2 linked regions of the Lonchura striata genome follow. The protein of the gene in region 2 interacts with the protein of the main gene of each other region in a pairwise test. Links are inferred from orthologs where the notes say so. Each region holds a gene or a part of one and is shown on either strand. Other genes may lie near its edges.

Region 1 (7,201 bases), on a different chromosome or scaffold from region 2:
TTTAACTGCCGCCAGGAGAGCAGCTACTGGGATAATAATTCTGTGAGCAGTCAACAACCAGCTCAGCTGAGCTGCCCCTACCATCAGATGCATCCATTACATTGCAAATTGACAGCAAATTATCCGTACCAGCAGCAGAAATGATGATGTGCCCCCGTGGATGCACAGAGATCCATCCCTGCACACACCGCCCTCAGCCCCGACAGAGCACGGGGAGATGGCCCAGCGGGTGGAGGCACATCTCACCCCATCCCTCACTGCTTCTTCTGCTACTTGATTTTACTGACATTCCAGCAAAAAATCAGCGCTTTGCAATGATCACCCACGGTGGTGAAATCTGCCTTTAATGAGAATTCAAATAATGTCCCTTATTCCCTCCCAAGACAACTGAAAGAAGACTCTGAATAGCCCCGGAGTTGGCTTTATCCTCTTAATTACCCTCTGTAATCAGAGACCAAACACGGAGGATCTGGGCAAACAGCAGCAATATTTAATCATCACTTTAGACCATCTGCAACTGTTTTGCAGCAACACGTAAAGTTTATGGATTCCTGAGCTTTGTATAAATGGCCAGGTGCTGTTTAATTGTATTTTTTGTTGCAAGAGGTTTCTTTTCCTGTTCTGGCAGACACTTGGTGCTGAATTGGTGGCACGGTGCCTGCAGTCTTCCACGCCAAGTTTGGCTCTGAGGGAGAACATCTTCTTGCTGAAGCAAGGGCACAGATTACACATTTAGAGGAGAAAATTCAAAATAGTGTAAGAGGAAAGCAATTATTTTGGGTTGTGCTGAGGGAGGTTGAGAAGACCAACTCATTTGCAGCAAGAGATTAAAATCAGAGAGCTGAGGCACCACTCCACCTCCCCGACAGCCGGTACCATCCCTCGATAAGGACAGCCAAGGAGACCTTGAGCCAGCCCAGAGCAGGGAAGCTCCCAAATCCAGGGCTGGAGTGGGCCAGGAGCTGCTGGGTGAGCTGACAAGCCACCCTCCCCTGGCCATCTTCTTCAAGCCACCCTCCCCAAAGGCAGAGCCTGACCCACAGGATGGGAGGCAGTGAAATCTGCTGCTTCCAACTATTTTTCCCCACCTCTCAGCAGGAAATGCCCTCACAGAAGGGAATCTCATTTTCTCAGAAGCAGAGCTATTTGCCTGCCTTCTGCTCCTCCACTTCTTTCACCTGTACTCACCACTGCCCCAGTTCTGGAGGTCTAAATTCAACACCACTGGCTTCCAAAGCTCACTAAAGCACCACCTCAGCTAGTGACACAAGAAGCACCTGCATTCAGCTGTGCTGCCCAGGAGCACACAGAGCCAGGACAAATCCTTCAGGAACTATTTCAGCAGCTGGCTGAAAGCTGCAGAATGCTTTTCCCCACAGCTAAGAACAATTTTAGCAGCAAGAAATGAAATTAAAATTTAGATACCCTGCAGCTAAGCAGCATTTCTTTACCTCGACAGAATAGAGCCCCCACTGTCACAAGCAATCACCCCCTGACCGTGCTGAAAGCTCATCCAAGGGAAAGCTGCACAAAATCCAAGTGAGCAAAGCAAAGTGAATGGACACTCCCCTCCAGAGTGGAGGGAACCTTGGGGAGCTCACATTCTGAGAGCAAGAGAAAAAACAACCAACAAAACCCCAAACTGGAACTTGGCTAAAAAATGAGAAAATTCATTCAGGTTTACCTGTTAAACTTCTGTGTCTTAACCTGCATCCCAGACATGTAAGGGATGGCATTGTTAAGCCCCAGATGGGGTGGAGGAGGCCAAAGACTCAAAGGAATGTAAGGAATGAAAATTCTAATTTGATGTTGAAAAATCACATTTGAAGAAGATAGGGAAATACAGAAGTGGAGTAGACCTTAGACCAGCAGAGCTGTGCTGTTGGATGCAGCAGGGTGTGGAAGGATGTTTGAGACAGAGCAATCCACAGAAGGAAACATCCTGGAGATTATCAAGGAAGAATCCAGTGGAGCTCTCAGACTGCCCCAGAAACTTCAATACCATTGGGAAAACTGCTGAGAAACTTCTCAAACCCAACAGCAACTTGTCTTTTTTCCCTGAGCATCTCCAAAGAACGCATTCCCAAAGCACAAACATGGAGTGAACAGCAAGACACCCCCTTCACTTCATCTCTGTGCCCCACGGAATGAGGCACAGCAGGAGGGCACCGAGTTCCACCAGGAATTCTGCGCTCTCAGCTCGGGAGCACACCTGGCCACTCTTACACCGCCTCGGGGTGTTCTCCTCACCCAGGGAAACGCCACGGCTGCAGCCGGGCTGAGAACTGAAGCCAAGCCCGGCATTATCCCAGCCAAGGTATCCAAATGTTCCTGCAGTTCCAACCCTCATTCCCTGTTCCACAGGGAAATCTGCTCCTGGGACAATAAATCAAAACTCGGTACCTGCACACAGCGAGCCACCAGTGAACGCAGGGCGAGGGAACGAAACGCACCCAGTAAAGGAAAACTTCTATAAAGAAAACTTTTAAAAACGTATTTTGATAAAAAATGAAATTGAAAAGGTTTTGTCGTACAACAGGGAGAAAGAGACGCTGGAACAGCCACGGAAGGAGGAGAGGCCTCGCTGCAGCCCCGGCGGGCACCGATCTGTGCCGAAACGAGACCGGCGACGCTGCCGAGCCCCGGGAACCCGCTCCTACCGGGCACCGCCGCGCACAAGAAGGGGAGAGACCCCCAGAACTTAGCGACACTTTCACCAGACCCCGTGCACCGAGTGGGGCCGGTGACCCCCGCACGGCGGCCGCCCCGGGCCCGCGGCCGCACCGGAGCTGGAGCAGCATCGCTGCCGCCGCAGCGGGGCCACGGGAGCGCAGGGCACCGCGGCACCCGCAGCAGGGCGCAGCCCCCCGAGCTCACCTGGTAGCTGAGCAGCTCCCCCACGTCCATCGCACCCACCGGGCCCCGCCACCGGGAGCCTGTCGCAAACCACCGGGACCGCGCGACACCTGCCGTAAGGCAGGCAGCGCAGGCCGGGCGGCGGGGGCGCCACACTGCCGGAAAGCGAGGCGGTGGGCGCCGTGCCGGGGAGAGGCGGGGAGGGGCCACACTGCCGGAAAGCGAGGCGGTGGACGCCGTGCCGGGGAGGGAGAGACGGGGAGGCGCCACACTGCCGTAAAGCAGCGCGGCGCTGTCGCGAAGGGGAGAGGGGCCGCCGGCGGGGCCCGGGGCGCGGCTCGGGGGCTCCCCGGTGCCTCCCCGGTGCCTCCCCGGTGCCTCCCCGGTGCCGCAGGGCGGGGAGAGGCCGAGAGCGTGACACACCACCGGGGACAGGGGCGCTCGCCACGGGCGAGGCGGGCCCCGGCGCTGCCGTCCCCGCTGTGCCCCGGGCCGGGCGCCGCTGTCACGGCGGGGGAGGCGACGCCCCGCACCGCCGGGCCCGCGGGATCGGCGTTCTTTTGTGGCACGTTCCCACCACCTCCAAAGGCTGCCGCGGTTGTTGCCGCTCCCAGCCCCTCGGGAGCCGTTGTCACCGTGAAACACGCCGGGAGCCGGCTCCCAGCGCGGCAGCGGCGGCCCCTCCGCTTGCCGAGCTGGTGACAAGCCGCCCTGCAATTCCACAAGATGCAGAACCCCGCACAGACTGAGGCGTTTCTCAATTTAACAAATAAGAATAATTAGGAGAGAGGCAACTCGGCCAAAATCCTACTGAATTTATTGCAGCTATGCTTTAAAAAAAAAAAACAGTTTTGAGCTAAAATAATTTTTTTATAATGATCGCAGCTCTTACGCAGTTATCTCAGCGGGAGTCTGGTTTGAGGAATCTCAGAAAATTAAAAAAATATATAATGTTTTTGAAGGAGTCCCTCGCGTCCCCTGTTGTTTCAAGAAAATATAGGAGATCGGTCATGGCAAAATTAACTCAACAAATCTGCATGTTAAAGATGAGATAAATAGAAGATAATTATTAGCTCATCTGGCTTTGGGATATTGAGTGCTCAGATAATTCCCCAGCTGTGAAACCTGCACAATTTGAGACCCTTGAGGGGTACTGGCACATACTAGGAACAGGATTCAGCTACTGGGAAGCTTGACCCCCCCCCACCCAGGGATAACCACAAAAAGCAGGTGTAGCATACACATGGAGAGCACTGGGGATAAGGACTGACCACCCACAGACACAGAATATGGTGAGCTGCTCCTGCCCCAGGGCTTCCCTTGCACCTCATTCCCACTGAGTGGAGCAGCTCTGGGAGGAGCTGGGGGAAGCCAAAAATCATCACTGACAAGCAGAGCCCCAACCTGAGCACAGCCAGAGCGTTCGCCTCGATGAAAAAAGGGATGGAAAATGTTCAATTCACCTCCCTGACAGGACTCAAAGGTCGGGGGATCACTCAAAAAAACAAAAGCAGGAATTTGAAGAACTGAGGCACCGCTCAGTTCTCATCCAGTCCTACAGGGCAGGATGCAATAACAGAATTTTTATCCAATAAGGTGAGTTGGAGCACAGGGACAAAATACTGAATTAAAAAGCAAAACCAGGAGCAAAACCAAAGTATTAAAAAAGCTCTCAAATAAATGAAGGATGGAGACGAGAAGCTGAGTGGTGCTGGGGCTGGCACCAGCCTCTCCCAGGTGGAACATGCAACAAAGCTGGATAAGAGGCTGAAGGCTCTGGATAGGCTGGAGCAAACCCTGGGACTTGGCTTGGTCAGGAGAACAAGGACTCCTGACTTCCACAGGCAGTGGGGTGCCACCCTCAGGGCTGACCATGTCCCCAGGCCTTTGCTGACACTTTTCCCTGGAGGGGCACAGAGGAGCCAGGACCCAGCAGCAGCTGCAGGTGAGGCTTATGCAATGGTCTCAGCATGGAAACGCCAGATCCTCATCCCAGCAAAGCAGGGCTGCAGGGGATGCTCAGAACCATGGATAGGAGCGAAGGTGGGAGGAGGAGGAGAGGAGGAGAATCCTGGTTTAATTTTATTCCGAGTTCAGGTTTCAATCCAGATGCCTCGAGATCTAATTCCGAATAAATAATTGTACTGAGTAACCCAGGTCCCCCAGTGATTAACTAAACACACAGAGGCTCGCTGAAATTGAATTAGTGGTGTGCACTCAGCCGTTATTACCCTCCCCACGTCATGAATATTAATGAGGGGTTATTAAGAAATGTAAATGATGCCTCAGGGGGTTGGGAGCACAGGGGGTGCAGGGCCGTGCGGGCTGATATGACAAACCATTAGGAAAACAGCCTGATTGAAGCCACTTTTTAATTATGTCAGATCTCGCTCTTTGGCGGGTGCAGCCGCGTTTCCGGATGCTTTCGTCTTTATTAAAATGAGAAAAAGGGAACAAGTCAGAGCTGCAATGGGAAACGAGCCTTTGCATGGGGGAAGATTCAGCTGCCCAACAGCCTGGCATGTGGGGGGGACTGGGTCCTGCACCCCACAGGGTCTCCCCCTGGCTCAACTCTGGCCAGGACACCCCCATACTGACAGAGGGGGACACTGGCACCCCCACAGCACCTGCACCCTGTCCCTGGACCCCCACAGTCCCCAGCCCCACCACCCTGCTGCCTGCAGCCCCCTCCCTCAGTTCAGCCTCGCTGGGCAGTGGAGCGACTGCCACAGGCTCATGCATTTTAACAGGCTCTCACAGGGCTCCCGCGCCGGAATGGGAGCTGACAGGGCCAGCTGAGTTAATCAGAGTGGATAATGGAGGGAAAGAGAGAAATCTCAGCCCAAATTGCTGCAGAAATCATGAGCCGGGACTCAAAACCATCGAATTAAGCAGGGATGATGCTTAAAGGGAAAGGCAGCAGTTCTCCCAGCCTGCTGTCCCACTGAAGCAGGAAAGGAGAATGGCCACAGAGCCCCCATCCTCCCACAGAGGGTAGGGGCTGCTGAACATTGAGGAGACCCTGTTCCACGGCAGAGAATCCACAGGCATCGTGGTCCATCCAGCCCTGCCACATCAGGGGGTCACACACCAAACAAAGCAGGCCAGGGGCTGTTCTTTCGAGGCACCGTCAGATCAGATGCTTTATTGTAGTGACGAGTATGGCACAAGCCTGGACCTGCTCCACCATCCCAACACTCACTCCCCTCCGTGTGCTCAGCCTCCGAGAGCACCAAAACTGGGTGCCAGCAAGGGAAAAATGTTCATCAGATGGAATCACAGCCCGTCCCTGTGACCCACCGGCATCGCGCGGTGTCACCGCAGACAGATGGAGCAGTCTGGGACAGGCACGCACACGGAGATCGTTGGAATTCAGGTCTCTCCGCCCTGATAGCTTCATAACACCAGGCTGCTGCTTAATTGCACCCGTAAGTGTTGGAATTACTGAAGGGTAAAATGCAAATGGTGTAACCTTTCCTGAGCTCGCCCGGCACTACTGTGCCAGCTCCATGCCGAAGGGAGCTGCCTGAATCCCTTCCCGCTTCTTAATTACTCAAAAGCTGCTGGGAGATGCCCTCCCCAGGCCCCAGGAGGGAGAGGACAGGCCCCTTATCAGGGTTGTGTGCTGCTTGCCCGAGCTGGAGGCATTGGGGTAGCCCTGAGAGCTGCCACCTCCCCAGTCTGACTATGACACCCATTCCAGCCCCACAGCACCATAGCAGCTGAGCTGGGGCTGTGAAGCTGTAAGCATGGAGCAAAACACAGCCTGTGCCCTCCCTCTCCAGTGCCACCTTCCCACCCTGAAAGCCTGGCACAGCTCCTGGCCAGGATCCCTGTGTGCTTGGTCCTGGGGTCCCGTGGTGCTGGATGCCAGGGCACAGCACAGCAGGAGCTGGAGGGCTCCAGTGCCAGCACAGGAACCCAGCTGTGGTGTTATGGTTAATGAGATTTTCATGAACCTGTGAAGCATTTGGTGGGAGGGGTGGGGATGGGCCCAGGAAATTGAAGGTTGCTGACCTGTGAAATCAGGCTGTGAGAAGCCAGGCACTGAGCTGAGGGTAGATGGGGCTGGAGTGGGGAGGGAAGAGGAAGGTGCAAGGGGAGAGGATGCCTGTGGTCAGGCTGTCCCTGCTCCCCACCTGTGGCAGTGCCATTCACTGTCCTGGTACAGTTGGAGGCTGGGTGCTGAAGCAGCACCTTATTTATGGCTCTACTTCCCTGACATAAACTCCACAAAGTGTGACAATCAAAATTAAAGATTTCTCCAGAAAGGCAGCCTAGGGGAAATCACTGCTGTGGCCAGTGGAGATTTCCCAACGGTGACTTTTAAATTAAAGGAGAAAAA
Region 2 (8,126 bases):
AACAATGTATGGGCATTCCTACTCAAAGTAGAGGACAGAAAATTCAGTCATGTTCAAACTCAGTCAGACTGAAATAACCAAAGATTAATCCCAAGCAGATACTCACACAAACCAAACCTGTGCAAAGCCACACCTTCACTACGTGCTGGAAAGCCTCTTGACTTTTTTTGTTGTTGTCCCAGGTTCAGTCCAGAAGCCAGCCTAAGGCACACCACCCAAGGGCACTGCATTTGGCTCATACCTCAAAGGAACAACCGAACAGGGAAGCACTCCAAGGCTGACAATTGTGGGCAGCACTACAAGAATAGAGGGGCCCAGACAGAACGTCAATAGTTGCCAGACCAATAAACCAGAACTACTCAGAAGTCAAGATCCTGATTTTTCCATTGGAGTCACAAAAGCAAACAGCATTCTAAAAGCTTAAAATTAAGTAACATACAAACATGTGAAAGACATGGAAAGCACAGAGATACAAAGCCCCATACTACAGTACAAAAGAATTACACAGATTGGATGCATGGTTGAAAAGACTGTCAACCACACAATCAGCCGGAGACTCATGGGCATCAACAAGATCTAGGAAGGCAAGGAAGATCGCAGATGACCTCCAAAATTTCTCTACATCACTAAAGCACAAGAAGCTGAAATCCCCTGGACAGTGAATTGTATTCCTGGCATAAGTGGTAGGAGATGGAAAGCAAGTGAGTGTTCTGAAAGAAGAAGGAACAACAGATAGAACAAGCAGTCATCACCTACTTTTATGATCTTTGCAGGAATAATTCCATTCTAAAGTAAAGATGGATTATGCCTGAGCCTTTAATCTGTCACAGCAACAACTCCTGGGACTTTGAGGGTACCCCGTCAAAAGATTCTGGCAATTTTCCAATTTTCACACCAGTAAACCTAGTGGTCCATGAAATTTTGGTAAATTCAGCTGTTTTCAGAACAGCCAGCCGAATACAGTTTCTATATTGCCTTATTTAGACTGATAATAAGCTAATGTCCATAAAGCTACTTTGTCCTAAAATAAGGAATTCCTAATTATCATAATCACATGGCAAGTAATTTAAAATGTCACCTTCCATAGGCAGTACCTTCCTGGAAACTATTTCCTACTCTTCAAAAATGCTGGTAGCACTGTATCAGCATGCCAGCATATGAACACAATCCAAACACTATCAACTGCTACTATTTTTTCCTTTGCACCATCTAATCTCTCACCAATCCTAACAGTTGTAACAACTATTTCTGAATTAATTCTGCATAATTCAAGAGTATCCCATGGTGATGCCTAATTACTGTCCCAGCCCCGGTGTTTCAAGGAAAACACTTTTGTACAATACCACAATGTACCCTCGCTTTGTGCCTGGACTGTTCAAATCTAGGACTTGAGTTCAGGCCTTGTGGGTGCAAACACAAAGTCACAGCCAGCACCCCTTTAACAAGCTCTGAGTATTGAAATTGCTGTGCCAGAACCTGGTAAATCAGACCCCGGGACAGGAAGTGGAACTGCAGGTCTTGCAATTCAAAACAGTTTTGTACTGCTGACATCTTCGGCAATTGTTTTTGAATGGGGGCATGTACTCACAAGCCAATCTGCCCGTCACTGCTGACGGTCCGTGACTTCGGAGGCAAAGAAACCTTCATACCACATCCTTCTGGCCCAGCCAGGATTGAACTCACTGCCCACTAATGTATCACAAAGACAAAGCGGAGCCAGCAGAAGGCTGTGCTCAGTCAAAAATAAACTCCCATGAGAAATAGGAAAGTACCAAGAACAGACCCTGTCCTTCTGCCCTTTGCTGAGCCTTTAAAGAAAGATGATGTGCAGCCTTTAGCTGTGTACCAGAAAGGGAACTAGTAGACAGTAAGAGTCTCGTGTTACAGCACGAGAGGTGAGAATCGAGTGCCATTTGTGTCTGTAGTCAAACAGGGTTATCCCAAACTGTTTTATAGTGGCCTTATCTTCACACTGCCAATGAAGGGGCTGAGGTCATACAGAGGTGGAAGGTCTCTGCAAGGACAGAGGTTCTGATAAATATTCCAGTGGCTCTATTACACTCCAGTTCCACAGAAACCCTTGTAAAACTCTAAATTTCCATTGGCAAGAGCTGAATGAGATGCTCAGCTTCTCCTCACTCCTTCACATCACCCGGGAAGTTCACCACGACTTAAACCGTCAATTTAGACTACGTATAAGAATGGTAAAACACTGGAACAAGCTGTCTGAAGAGTTGATAAGATGCTGCACCCCTGAAAACATTTAAGTCAGGTTGGATGGGGCTCTGAGCAACATGATCTAGTTTTAAGATGACAATGGTCATTCACGGAGGTTGACTAGATAAAGTCCCTTCCAATCCAAAGTATTCTACGATTCTACAGCCATACGACCTCCCAAGATCTGAACCACACAATCAGCCTGATGCACCCAAGCATGTGCTACCAGGCTTGGACAAGACCACAGCCGATGGAAGCATGCCTCTCAGGCGACTCAAGTATCTGCCAGCATTGGCATCGCGGCATTTCAAAAGAAAAAAAGGAAAAAAAGTAAAATAGGCTAGAATTAAATAAATGTATTAGCCGTTTCTAAAGTGGTATCCCCAGGCTCACAACTAATTAATTCTCAGTGATCCACTCCAGCCGTTATTAGAGCCGCTACAAGTCCCAGCACAGCTGCAGCTGCCCCACGCCGCTGCGGAGTGCCTGAGGGCCGCCCCGAGGGCGGCTCCCACCCCGTTCCCGGCCTTTTACAAGCGCGGAGCCGCCGCGCCACGTGGATGGCTCCCGGCGGGAGCGCGGGCCGCCCGGTGTCCCGGCCAGCGCGCTGCGGCGGCGGCGCTGCGGGCGCGCCGGGGAGCCGCCCCGCCACTGGCGGTCACTCGCCGGCGCTGCCGGGCAGCTCCTCCGACCCCTCACGCCGCGGGCAGCGGACAAAGGCCGCCGCTGCCCCGGGCAGGCGGGAAGCTGCGGGCCGGCTCGCTGTCCCCGCCGCCCGGCCCCGCTCCGCCAGCCCGCGGGCCCCTCACCTTGCCGCGGGTCCCCGCCGCCGCTGCCCGCCGCCGCCGCCGGCCGCGCCGCGCCATGGCCGCCCCGCCGCCGCGGGCCGAGGAGGAGGAGGAGGAAGGAGCAGGGAGGAGGGGCGCGGGGCGGTGGCGGGGTGGAGCCGCCCGGCAGCGGCGGGAAAGCGGGTGGAGGGACGGGGCACTCCGCGTGGCCTGCCTCGGGATGGGCAGTGCTGTTCGGATGCTGCTGCGGGTCCCGTGGGCACTCCGCATCGTCCGTTCTTTCCTGCACGCTTTTCGCTGGGCGGCAGCTGTTCGTCTGAAAGAGGCAGGCTTTGGAAGGAAATAGGCTTTCATCCTCCAAATAACTGAAAATGTTTATTTACGCAATACAGGCGGGAAGTGTAAGCCTCTTGAAATCCTCTGGGAAAAAAAATGGAGGGGAGGGCGCAGAGGGGGAATGATGTCACTTTCGAATCAAAATAGTAAAGTCCAATCATTAGTTCAGCACTGCACATTCACCACTAAGCCATGTCCCCAAGAGCCACATCCAAATGATTTCTAAACACTTTGAGGGATAACGATTACACCACTTCTAGGGGAAGCCTGTTCCAATGCCTGACCACTCTTTAAGTGAAGAAACCTTCCCTGGCAGAATCTCAGGCCATTTCTTCTTGTCCTATTACTTGAGACCATCCCCTATCTCCTTACACCTTCCTTTCAGGCATTTGTAGAGAATAATAAGGTGTCCTCCTGAGCCATCTTTTCTCTGGAATAAACAACACCAACTTCCTCAGCTGCTCCTGATCAGACTTGTGCACCAGATCTTTTACCAGACCCTTCTCCAGCTCAACTGCCCTTCTCTGGACACTCTCCATGCCTTTCTTGTAATGAGGAGCCCAAAACTGAAAACAGGCTTAGAGGTGTGACCTCACCAGTGCCAAGTACAGGCGGACTTTCAATGCATTCCCCAGGTTCCCAATTCAACAGCCTTTAACTTTACTGTGAAAGTGAAATCTGAAGTTGAAAGGAATGGCTAGCAGAACTGGTTCCTTGAAACAGCAAGTCAACAGTTCAAATTTCAAAATATCACAAATCCTGGAAAATAAATCTAATCAGAAAAATGTAATTGGGGAAAAAAACCCTAATATATCAAATTTTAAAGCACTTTTCCTCCACACAAGTTCCTATATCATTATTTTTTCCACTGTGCAGCTAGCAGAAAGATGAATACAAAACCAGGCAAACTATTTTTTCTAGTTTTTTCTGAATAACCTCTATTCCTCAATTAAGAGGTTTAATTTTTATTAAAAACTTAACAATGTTTTATGTGTCCCTTTTTAATCAAGGGGATTGTTACTAGATTATGTACTTTGTATTATGATTACCCAATAATTCAGTGAGAAAATCTACCCTTTGAGGAGAGAGTTGCTCCCAAAGTTGTCTGGTTGGGTGGGGTGGAGATCTGTACTCAGCTTCCCCCTGTCCCACTGGCACTGTGAATATTCCCTTGCCCAATGGAATGTGAAGCAGGTCCAGCAGAAAACTGTTGAGACAATGTTTTCCTGATGCAACTTTGATAATAGAAGGATACACTTTCCACTACAGTTGCAAGTCCCCTCATCAGGACACATTTTATGAAGTTCTCTTCCCTTTTCGCACCCTTGCAGCTGCGTATTTCTCCCTTGAAGGGACATTCTCTATCTTGTCAGCATGGCACCCCCACCACGTTCTCTGATGGGGCTATTGCCAGCTGTTCATCATCCATCTCAAAAGGATGGACTCTGTAGGTGGCTCAGAGGGAAAGAGCTCTCTTGGGATCAGCAGTGAAGTATCTCAGTGTTTGCAGTACTAAAAAAGGAAAGTATGTGTGCCATTCTCCTTATGGGATTTGAGAAAACAGGGGAAGAATTGATGACTATGTCTGAACTGGAGGAATCTCAGTATCAGGTCTCAGGGTATGTTTCACACCCAGGTTTCTGTCTGGTGTCTTCCACAAGCCCTCTAGTCTGGATAGTGGAATAGAACAGCAAGAAATTCACTTGCCCATGTAATCTGGCTGAAATAAACCCATAAAAACTACCTTTATAGTTTTTGAATTGGTAAAAGCAAATCAGAGGAACAAAGTGTGTTATTCTGTAGCTTACCTTCAGACACAACTGTGAGTTGCCATGTTAAAAATAAATTCAGATTGTTTCAACTGTTTCAGTACCTTCTGGATGACAGAGACTTAAAAGCATTATGTCTTTTTTAATTTAGGGGAGCACTTCAAAATGCACAGTGCAGTCTGCCTACTCTGATGAGTTCCCCGATCTGACTAGGTATTTTAAACACTCCACTGTAAATATTGACTTAAAATAAAAGTTAGAGGAAAGTAACATTTTTCTGGAAAGTGAAGGATGGATGAGCTCTTCCCAGAGCCTCTCCATGTACCATTGCATATGATCCTCAGTGTAACACATGGTGGGCTACCCATTTAAGTATTTCCAAACCTTTATATTCCAGCCATATGGAAGGTATTTGTTAAGAATGTGAAGGAAGTTGTTACAAGCAAACAAAGAAGCATTTAGCCAAAGCAGGCCATTTAAACACTGGTTTGCATTGCAATATCCACTACTGAAGCACCTGCTGCTACCACTCAGGGCGCAGAAATAAGAAGGTTTGGGCATGAGGTGGGGAGAAGGGCATTCAGTAGAAGACAAAATGTGGGAATTATGTATAATATCAGTAAAATTGAAATGCAGACTTCTTAAAAGACAAAATAATAAAGATCTCTTGTGCAATACATTCCTGAAAAGCTTGTATATTATGTCCTCCACTGCTGATCCTGGGCTTGGTTCTTTCCCTAGTCCCCAGCAGTCTACATTATGAAGCACTTTGTTAAAAGCTGTCAACATGCTGTCTTGGATTGCGAACAACAGATTTGAAATGGCTGTATTGACTGTCCTGTACTAAATTAGAGTGAATAAAATTGAATTCTCTTACAATAGAGATGTACAGCTATTATGCTGTTACAAATACATTATGAACTGTCTGATATTTTCAGCTGTTTTATGCAATTTGTTGTTTTGGCTTTGTTTCTCTTTTTCTCCCCTAACTTTCCATTTCATTTTGTACTTTCACATTCATTCTCCTTCTCAGCATTTCAAGTCCTTCTTGTCAGTTATTGTTCTTTATGCTGCCTTATTAGAAGTGTGGGGGGGTTTAAAATTTTGTTAGTTTAATTTTTCTGTGGCTGTAGCTCAAATACTTCTCAGTGTGAATTTTCCATCACTGAATTCCTGTCCATTTTCTTTGCCTCTTGTCATATTATTTCCAAGTTCTTTTTTCTAACCCACAACAGTTTTTGTGTTATTGCCTTGTCAGTAGGATCTCATCATCTGCTCAGATGAGGTTTAGCTGAATTCCTGATACTTTTCAACTTCAGCTTTATATATTAAGCCTGAATTATTTTGCAATGACTGGACCCAGAATAGTGAGAGCATTGCTGATAATGTCTCAGTCCAACTCTTCGTGCTCAAAACTATACAATGAAACTCATAACAATGAGCTCTGTCTTGGGCTCAGTATGACTATTATAATCAGACTGAAATTTCCAAAGAGAACAAATGTGTACTAAAGGAATTATGAGCTAGTCAAAATATGCATCAGGTATAGCAGATCCATTAATTTATGGGATACTCAGTAACAACATGATGCACTGTAAAATTACAGGACAGCACCAACACCTCTCTAAAGTGGCCATGTAAACAGAAAATTTGTTTCCTGTGAGTTTCAAATTAACAATACCACTCTAGTTTATCATTTTGGACTTTACTGCCATGAATTTACCAAGCTGGTTGAACATCAAAATCAATCCTTGCTGCTGAACTCTGCTTTCACTGCTCGCTCTAACAGTCTACAATTTGGGGGCCATTGTAATCACAACTGGGAGCTTTACTCCTATCTTCCTGCCACCACACTTCTCTAAGACCTGTCAAGCATTTTAAATAGCATGCACTTTCCCACACTTCTCAATGAATGCTGACATACCTAACTTAAAAGGATTACTTTCTGCTGAGAGGAATTGTAATCTTCTTTTCCTGCTCTGCAAATCCTCTAGTAAGTGAAAAAGAAAGGCCAAGATCTGTTCTGCTGTGCAGGGCAAATCACCATCGCAGAAGGCATAGAATAAAACAACAACTCTAAGATTTACTTGTGGTCACGCTTGTCCAGGAGCTGTGTCCCTGACTATTAACTCATTGGCATCTTCCATCACTATTTCTGGTGCTTTGATATTTTCTGGGTTAGTTTCTAACAGCTGTATGAATACACACACAATTGCTACCATGAATGGTGTTCATGACAAAACACTCTTCTCAAAGATGTCTACAAAAAGGTAGAGACACAGAATTGCCTTAACTTGAACCCAATTTTTAATATTATGTATTCCATTACCAAAACCCAGAAACATACTTTACCTTATATACAAAAAACTACTGTTCTTTCAACCTGGCTAAGGTAAATTTTCAGAGTATTTTCAAAAGCTGGCATGGAGGACTATGTTGGTGGTGAAGGTTTGTGCTCCAACAGTGGGTTGTGGGTGGTATTTGACAGAACAACAAAAGCACAAATGTTCCTGCTACCTTGATTTCCACCCACTCATCTCAAAACCTTTCCTTACACATGGTGATTGTTGCAACAAATTGGCTTGTGGGTGAGGTTGAGGGCTTGGGTGATCTTACACTGCCAACTGAAAATGAAGCCACAGGTTATTCTTTTGCAGTAGTCACCTGAATGCTGTCTAAGACAGCTTTCCCCATGCTCTCCCATCATTCCCTTAAAATTCCTGCAAAAAGGGGGGGGGGGGGGGGGGGGCGGGGGGGCAGTGTGCCAATAAAGCTTGTATTGCTGAAAATTCATTTTTGACGTTTTATATTGAAAACAGTATTTTGTTGCTAGTCAGTCACAAAGGAGATGAGCCAGGATTAGAGTCCACTTCCCTTTTCCATTCTCTAATTTGGCAGCCAGCTATACTCACAAGGTAGATGAACATCAGCTTCAGGCTTCCTCCCATGCATTTTCCTTTCCATCACTATACTGCTGCAGCAAAAAATTCAGACTCTAAATTTATGAGATCTTCAA

What was found.
Region 1: the proteins of CDCA7L (region 2) and CTNNBL1 interact in binary tests that used the Homo sapiens proteins (3 or more experiments, as listed by UniProt). The link is inferred for Lonchura striata from reciprocal best matches to the Homo sapiens genes CDCA7L and CTNNBL1.

Annotation. Positions count from the first base shown.
Region 1 is NC_134619.1:8,136,216-8,143,416, forward strand, and holds the start of CTNNBL1 (beta-catenin-like protein 1), read right to left. Parts: upstream 3,022-7,201; 5' UTR 2,908-3,021; coding exon 2,878-2,907; intron 1-2,877. UniProt on the Homo sapiens protein: Component of the PRP19-CDC5L complex that forms an integral part of the spliceosome and is required for activating pre-mRNA splicing.
Region 2 is NC_134603.1:125,523,337-125,531,462, reverse strand, and holds the start of CDCA7L (cell division cycle-associated 7-like protein), read right to left. Parts: upstream 3,085-8,126; 5' UTR 3,084-3,084; coding exon 3,027-3,083; intron 1-3,026. UniProt on the Homo sapiens protein: Plays a role in transcriptional regulation as a repressor that inhibits monoamine oxidase A (MAOA) activity and gene expression by binding to the promoter.